Oryctolagus cuniculus: one gene and its partner. The protein of the gene in region 1 purifies or fractionates together with the protein of each later gene. This does not show direct contact. Links are inferred from orthologs where the notes say so. Each region holds a gene or a part of one and is shown in the gene's direction. Other genes may lie near its edges.

Region 1 (4,135 bases):
TCGGGAGCCCCCAGCCTGCCCTCTGGGTGTTTGTGGGAAGGCCTGAGAAGTCTTGTGTAAGTTGCTCTCAGCTTTGCCTTGACCCATGCAAGGCCCTGGCGGCCCAGAGCTATGAGATTCATCCCACAGTGAGGCCCCCTCTGCCGATTCCCCTGTCCCTTTGCACCTGCTGTCCCATCCGCCATCCGGTACAGCCCTGCACACACACAGGCCTCAGAGCCTGCGGGAGGAGGCTGCCGGCCTGCCGGGCCCAGGCCTGCCCCTCCTGCTCGGTCAGCCTGGCTCTGTCCCCCAGGAGGGAGGCAGCGGTGAGAAGAGCTTCCGTGACTGGATGGTGAGACAAGGCATGGTGAGCAGGAGCCAGGCCCGGCCCCCAGGAAGCTGGACTGCTGCTGGCAGGGCTCCGGCCTCGGCGCAGAAGCAGGGCCTCGGTGGTGCTGTCTGAGGGCGTGGGGCCGAGGAGGGCCTGCCGGGCCCCACGGCTCAGGCCATCGCCAGGCGGGTCACCCCGCACTGGCCTGGTCCCGCTCCTGCATGCTGGCTTCCGAAGCCCTGCAGTGTGCGTGTCCCACCGCCCTCGGGCAGGGCCAAGGTGGCCCTTCTGCAGGGGACTGGGAGAGGGCGCAGGCGCGGTGCTGCTGAAGGGTTGGCGCCTGCCTGTGCTCTGGGCGCGGTGCTGCCGGCGGGGTCCTCGGGGGCTGGGTGACGGAACTTGGCGACCAGAGCGGCTTGGTGGGAGAAGGACTCTCGCTTGCCCTCCTGGCACTGAGGTCTCTGCAGCCCTCCTCTGTGCTGTGCCCAGCCCTGCATCTGTCCTCCTGTTGTCCCCCTCTCCATGGTAGGGACCCGTGGTCTCCTCCGGGGGAGAGGGGAGCTAGTGCAAGGAGGTGAAGCCCGTGCCGGGAGTCATGGTGCGCCAAGGGGCGGGGCCAGACGGGACTCTCCCACCCTGAGCCCTGCCCATGACCTCCATCTGGGGTCTGGCACCGCAGAAGCGGGGCGAGAAGGCCCTGGCCCAGCCCCGGAGTGGGTGCCTCCTGGTCGAGCCCAGGTCTTCGTGGCCCTCAGCGAAACGTCCCGATGCTTGGGCTGCCCCTCAGACTCCACCAGCCTGGCCAGGCCTCACTTCCTGTCTGCCTTGGGGCTCTTCTCCACTCCCTTCTGCTGCAAACCCCGGCTCTGCGCAGGTGCCAGGACACGGAAGCTGGTGGCAGTGGCCTGGGCCGTGGCCGTGGCCGTGGCCATGGCCCGGCCCAGCTCTGGTGGCTGGAGAAGGCGGCTCTCGTGCCCCTGGGCTGTTGTTCCCGGGCACCTGCGCCTGGGGTGGCCCCATCCTGGGCCTTTGCACAGCCGGAACCCCGCCTGCACCACCGTGTGCTGGAACTGGGGCTCCACTGTCCTCGTGGGGAGGGGCAACCTTGGGCCCCTGCCCCAGAGCAGGGCGAGGTGGCGGCTTGGGGCAGGGCTGGTGACTGGCAAGGGCCATCCAGCAAGGGGACACTGGCCGGCGGGGCCGTGTCGCCTGCCACACTGTCCTCCCCCGTCACCCCTTCCCTGCAGGTTCCCGTCGCCCAGGCCTGCCTCATGGAGGACATCGAGCAGTGGCTGTCTACCGACGTGGTGAGTGGGGCCCTTGCCCGCCCGCAGGGCCCAGGGAGGAGCCATAGTGGCCAGTGGGGGTCTCGGGGCAGGAGGCTGCCCACCCCATGTCACATGTCACAGACCGCCTGGGGCAGTGGTCACCCTTCTCTAAAGGGACGTGCCCAGAGCGGGAGAGGCGGTGCCAGGACGTGGGGCCCTGGGCACCAGCATTCTCCAACCCCAGGGAGCAGAAGAGGCAGCGTCAGGCTCAGCTCCTCCATGCACCCAGCACCCCCCGGCACCGAGCACCCAGCACCCAGCACTTGCTGGCCAAAGCCACGACCCAGCCCCTTCCCAGCTCCCAGCTACGGCAGGAAGTCCCCAGGTGTCAGACCGCCCGGGAAGGAAATTAATGGACACCCCCCCCCCCAGGACACACTGGGCACTGCGCCCTGTGCTTGGCCTCTGGGTATATTAGCTCACTTAAAAATTGTTTATTTATTTTCACTTTATTTGAAAAGCAGAGAGACCGATCTTATTCCCCAAATGCCCACATAGCCTGAGCCAGGCCAGGCCAAAGCCAGGAGCCGTGAACTCCATGTGGGTCTCCCACAGGGGTGGCAGGGACCCAGGCACTTGAGCCGTCACCTGCTGCTTCCCAAAGTGCACATTAGCAGGGAGCTGGGTTGGAAACGGAGCCAGAACGCAACACCAGGCCCTCTGGGCCGCGGCCCCGCACTCTTGCCCTGTCCCAGTCCGGGTGGAAGCCTCCAGCTCTGTGTCCAGTCCCCGTGGTGCCACAGAAGAAGCCACGGCTCTGAGAAGGCAGACGGCACCCAAGCCCTGCAGCTCGGGGGTTGAGGGCCGGGTGCTGTGCGGGCCGGGGACAGAGCCAGAGCGGGACACCAGCAAAGTGGCTCAGGGGAGCCTGAGCTGTCAGCTCCGCCCCGTCGCGGGGGCCAGGCCACTAACCTCTGCCTCCTCTCCTCCTGCTTCCCAGGGGAACGACGCGGAAGATCCCAAGGGCGTCACCAGTGAAGGTAGAAGCGCCCAGCCCACCCCCGCCCCCGCCCTCTCCCCCAGCCTGGCCTCCAAGCCCACCCCTCCCTCTCCTTCCTCTAGAGTTTGACAAGTTCCTGGAAGAACGGGCCAAAGCGGCCGACCGGCTGCCCAGCCTCCCCAGCCCCGCAGGCGAGGGGCCCCGGGGTGCCCCTGCTGGCGCGGCCCCCCGGAAGAAGACGCAGGAAAAGGATGACGACATGCTGTTTGCCTTATGAGCGTGGGGTCTGGCACCCTGTGCCCGGCCCCGGCGGGCCTTGCTCCCTCCTTTGGTGTCCAGCTGCTTGGGGTCCCTGAGACGGGGCCGGCCCGGCTGCGGCTGCGCCGTGCTGCCTGGCGCCCGGGGAGGCAGCGGCGTGGATCTGGTCAGCTCTGCAGTGGGATCCTGGCCGGCTCTGCCTCCTCCCCTACCCCGCTGGGCCCTGCTGCCTTCGCTGAGAACTGGGAGACCCCAGGACAGACAGACTGGCTGCGTGTTGGCACCGTGGGACTCTGCCCTGGGCCCGTCCCCACTGAGCCCTTGAGAGCCCACACTGCCAGTTAAGGCTGCCACAGCCTCGAGTCCCTGGCCCCTCCGTGGGGCCCCCAGGCTTTAGCGAGCTGTGGGGGGCCGATGTGGTGACCCCTCGCTGTGCTGCTCTATCCAGGTACGAAGCTCAGAGGCTCAGGGTGGGGCAAGTCCCCAACAGCCCAGGCTGCAAGGTGAGGCCTGGGGGCTGCCTGGGCTCTGTGGCCCCACCCCACCCCCACTGCCTCTCCCGGCCTGGCCCGGCCCTTGGCCTTCCTCCGTCCTCCTGTTGGTGGCGCCTCTCGTGCTGGGAGAGGTGCCTTTTGTACCCCCGATTAAAGGTAGACAACCACCTGCCAGTAGCCTGGTCCAGTGGGGGCGGGGCAGGAGCCCACTGAGAGGCCGGCATCTGCGGATGTGCCCGGGGTGGTGGCACTGAGTTGAGTGTCTGCCGCCCTGCAGCCGTGGCACGTGGCCCACAGGGAGGGGAGGTGCCCGGCCACCCCAGCTGGGGCGCAGGTGCCCAGCTGCGCAGCGGCCCTGGGAAGTCAGGTCTCTGTTGTCTTCAGAAGAGGGGCGGGCGCGTTGCCCCACGTTTCAGATGCCCAGGTCGGATGCCGTGGCACAGCGCAAGGCGCCGCACCCCGGGGCAGGGGCAGGGGCAGGGGCAGGCGTCGGCCCTCGCCCTGCTCCCCGGCAGCTCCAGAGCCCCGGGTCCCGCAGTGTCAGCACCCCAGGCTCCCCAGAAGTCACTGCTCACAGCCTCTGGGTCCCGCCTTCAGTGGTGGGAGGGGTGGGGCTGCCAGGGCTTCCCTGCAAGGTGACCCGGGGAGGAGAGGTCTGGACGGGGGTGCTCAGGGCCTGGGCTCCTGGGAGGGGTGGGATCGGTGGGCTGCCCTGGCTCCATCGTAGTGAGTTAGGTATGTAGCTGGCCCCGCCCTCCGTGGGCGAGGAGAACAGGGGAGGGGGTGGGGAGCGGCAGCACCA
Region 2 (4,264 bases), on another chromosome or scaffold:
GAGATCATCCATCTGCTGGCTCATTTCCTAAGTGGCCTCAACAACAAGGGCTGAGCCAGGCCAAAGTCAGGAGCCAGGATCTCCCATGGAGGTGGAAGGGTTCCAAGCACATGAGCCACCTTCTGCTACTTTTCCCAGGCCATTAGCAGGGAGCTGGATTGGAGGAGCAACTGGGACTGGAAACAGCACCCGTATGGGACGCTGGCTTCGCGAGTGAGGACTTTCCATGCTACACCATTATGTTGGCCCCATGTTAGTGTATTTCATTCACTCTTTAACATGTATTGGACAAGCATAACGACTTCATACTACACACACATTGATAAATATTTTTAAATATTTAAAATGCTTTATCATGATTTCCTCAAATTATCAGAATTCTTTGTAAAGGTAAATTTAATGGTTTGACACAAATATATAGTCATCTTTTTTTTTTTTTTACTATTTTCTTATTGTATTTTAGAATGTTGTCAATTTTAAAACACAAATATTGTCATGGTAAATATATTTCCATTATGCGTAAACCTTTGTTTTCTGGAGTAACTCCTTATACATTCCAAAAGGAAAATTATAGAATTAGGTCATGTGAACATTTAAAGGGTCTTGATATGATTTGACAGATAACTTTCCTAACTGGGGCAGGGGGATGCTGTGGTGTAGCGGGTTAAGTTGCTACTTGGGAAACTCATATCCCGTGTCAGAGTACCGATTTGATTCCTGGCTGCTGCACTTCCCATCCAGCTCCCTGCTAACGCACACGGGAAGCAGGTGAAGATAACTCAAGTGCTTGGGTCCCTGGCACCATATGGAGACCTGGTGGAATTTCTGGCTCCTGGCTTTGACTTGGCCCAGCCCTGGCTTTTGTGGCCATTTGAAGACTGAACCAGAGGATGCAAGATCTGTCACTTGCCTTTCAAGCAAATAAATCTTGTAAAAAATCCTAACTTGGTCTAATTTATATCCCCATCAGAGTGTGAGTGTTCACCCTACTCTCGCTGATGGAGTTTGTTCACACTCCAAAGTGGCTAAACTGGATCCATGGGACCTGTCATTTTTTGTCTTTATGTGATTAATGAGTTTGAACACTACAATAACTTAGTAAAACGTTTAACTGTTGTATTTGTGGATTCAGCGTTCACGTACACACGTTTTTCCTTTGCCGGGTTAGGGTCTCGGTGTCTCGCCTACTCCTGCTCTCGGTCCTTGCGCTGCTCCAGACTTCTGTCCAGGCTGCACTGGACCCGACAGTGGCTGCACGAGGCCGTGCCCCTCGGGTTGTGTGTGTCAGCCGCGGAAATGCTTCCTGGACTTACTGAGAAGGCCAGCAAACGCAAAGCAGATGCCCAGTACAGTTCCGGGCAGTCAACACTTTACACCTGGACTACAGCCAGGCCACCCCCGCTTCCAGTGCAGGAAGCCCGAGATTCGAGATTCTTTCCGAACGATGGAAAACCGCAGATTGGAAGCTCGACTCTCCCATCCTTCACCACAAACCCCACGTGTCTGGAATATTCTTGAGATAGTATGATTCCTGTCACTTTCGGAAAAGCGGACGTGGGCCTGAGCTTGTTGAAACGCGGGCTTTCGCGTTCGCGGCGGTGCGGCCGCTCGCTCGGATGCGCGCAGGGGCCTCGGCCCCGGGCACGCGCTCGCGGCAGAAACAGCGACGCTCCGCCACACACACACACTCGGGCCGCTTCTGACAGAAGTCAGCGTTTGTTTCCAGTCAGCGCAGCTGTTCTCCGGCCGCTGACTGAAACGCAGAACGGCGGCGGCGACGGCCGGGTGAGCACCGGACCGGACCGGACCGGACCGGAGAAGGCCAGTCGGCACCGGGGCCGACCGGCCCGCCCACTGCAGCGCTGAGTCGGCGACGGGCAGGGGTCGCCGGACGCGGACGAGCGTCACCCCTCCTCACGATCCGAGCCCGAAACGCGCGGCGGCGCCCACCCCAGGGCCTGGTCAGGCACTTCCGGCTCGCACCGCATCGCAGCGCGCAGGCGCCCGGGACCGCGCGGGCGGGGGGCGTGTGCGCCGCGCGGCCTCTCCTGCGCCTGCGCGGGCCGCGCCGCTCGGGTCGGCGGGGGCAGACCCTGCGCCGACGTCGCGCACTGCCGCGGCTCCGGCCGGGGTCGCTCTCGCTGCCCAGCGCGGCGTCCGCGGCGAGGCCCCGAGCTCCGCAGGGCTGTGGGGAGGTAAGTGGCCGCCGGGGCCTCGCCTCAGCCCTGCCGCGCTCCCTCACCAGAGCCGCCGGCTCGGGGCCCGCACTCGACCCCCGCAGCAAGGGGCAGGCCGGCCGGGAGCTGAGGGCCGCAGGGCCGCCGCGCAGTCCGCTCGGGGGTCCCGCCCTGGGGCCGCCGCGGGGCTGACCTTCCTGGCGGCCAGCGCCTTTGTGGGCCCGGGTCCCTCGCGGGCCGGCGCCGGGACGCGCCTTCGCGAAGCCAAGTTGGTCTCTGACGGGCGCCGGCGATGCGGTGCGGGGTTCGCCGCCGCCGGGCGTCCGGCCGAGGTGCGGTGGCTCGCTGCGGTGGAGCTGCGTGGAGTGGTCCCCGCGCTGCTTCCTTCACTGCCTCCGTGCCTTTGCTGAATTAAGAGGACGGGGTTTCGTGTATAGGTAGTGGCATTGGGTGTTTTCTTGCTGAAGTTTGCATTTCAGTTTCCCAAGTTCTAAATAAGCTTCGTAGGCATAACTTTGGCTTTTGGAGTACACGAGCACAACGGAGTTGGAAACGGTGAAATTGCGATGGAAGCCAAGTTCCCGTCGATCTGTGGGCCCCAGACGCAGGGAAAAGTGATGGGCTAGGATAGTGCCACAGTCCACTGAACATTATGACTGGGGGGAGTCACGCTTAAAAATGAACGGCCCCAGAGAGTTTTTGTTCATTAATGCAGTATATTTACCATTTTGGAAATGAAAGCGCAGAACATAATTAACTTGTTCATTTAAAAGTAGCAAGCTCCGCTGTAAGGAAAAGTTAAGTGTTTGAAGAGAAATTGGCTTTGCATGGACATTGCAAACATTTGCATATATATGGAAACACTGCTTGGTATGCCATTGGTCTGTTGTTTTTGAGTATAAAAGATTTATTTATTTATTCGAAAGAGTTACAGAGTGAGGAGAGGCAGAGAGAGAGAGAGAGAGAGAGAGAGAGAGAGAGAGGTCTTCCATAAGCTGGTTCACTCCCCAGATGGCTGCAGCGGCCAGTGCTGCGCCGATTGGAAGCCAGGAGCCAAGAGCTTCTTCCAGGTCTCCCACGTGGGTGCAGGGCCCAAGGACTTGAGCCATCTTCCACTGCTATCCCAGGCCATAGCAGAGAGCTGGATGGGAAGAGGAGCAGCCGGGACTAGAACCAGTGCCCATATGGGATGCCTGCACTTCAGGCCAGGGCGTTAACCCGCTGTGCCACAGCGCCGGCCCCTGAGTATTAAACTTCTAAAGAGAGTTAGTGGATCAAGTTATTAGGAATGTTTTTGAGGCTGTTGATATAAAATATAAATATATATATTTCTAGCCATATTATTTTCTTTAGAGATTGTACCAGTGTACTTTTTGTCATCACATCTTTGCCAACATTTAATACTTTTATTATTTAAAAAAGTAGTTTTCACTTAGTAAGCACCAAAAAAAATGTGGAGCATTACTTTGTTAGTTCATTGAGCATTTTAGTGTAATATTACAGTTCTCTGTTGATATTATTTGCCCAATTATAGTACAATGCCCAAGTGTCTTTATAACAGATTTTTAGGAAAAGAACACAATTATTTTTTCCTGTTTACCAAAGTATTGCTTGTAAGAAAATGAAATGTCATAGAGACATAGAGTGTAGCTATGAAATGCTTACATAATCCCATGTCCAGATTTATGGAATTATTGACAAATGTTCCTCATATTTCCCCATGTGTCTTTGCTAGTGCAATTTTTTTTTAACAATTCATTTGTAATAAGGGGCTTATAACATGCAGAAACTTTGCTGTTTGATTTTCGTTCATTTAACATTGTAGGTTGGATATTTTTCCTCAGCAGTACGTTTAACTGTGTGGCAGAGTTTTACCCAGAGTGGTTTTGGGCACGGGGACCGTGATCTTCAGTTCCCTGATGTCAGGTCTGTGTCCTCTCTTCTGGGTGGTCTCATCCCACAGCTTAGGGTGCTGGTTTCTAAATCTCTGTCTCAGGCGGCTCTCCTGCATTCCGATCCTTGCCCTAGAAGGATGTTCTCGAGGTTGTTCAGGCAAACAGCAGTCCAGGAGTGGGCGCGTGCTTGAC

What was found.
Region 2: the proteins of TOM1 (region 1) and ZFYVE16 purify together in Homo sapiens (affinity purification with western blotting; 3 studies listed by BioGRID and IntAct, with this or other methods). This does not show direct contact. The link is inferred for Oryctolagus cuniculus from reciprocal best matches to the Homo sapiens genes TOM1 and ZFYVE16.

Annotation. Positions count from the first base shown.
Region 1 is NC_091442.1:112,927,338-112,931,472, forward strand, and holds the end of TOM1 (target of Myb1 membrane trafficking protein), read left to right. Parts: intron 1-295; coding exon 296-349; intron 350-1,560; coding exon 1,561-1,620; intron 1,621-2,581; coding exon 2,582-2,621; intron 2,622-2,703; coding exon 2,704-2,858; 3' UTR 2,859-3,502; downstream 3,503-4,135.
Region 2 is NC_091445.1:3,969,286-3,973,549, forward strand, and holds the start of ZFYVE16 (zinc finger FYVE domain-containing protein 16), read left to right. Parts: upstream 1-1,409; 5' UTR 1,410-1,785; intron 1,786-2,056; exon of another isoform or gene 2,057-2,195; intron 2,196-4,002; exon of another isoform or gene 4,003-4,103; intron 4,104-4,264.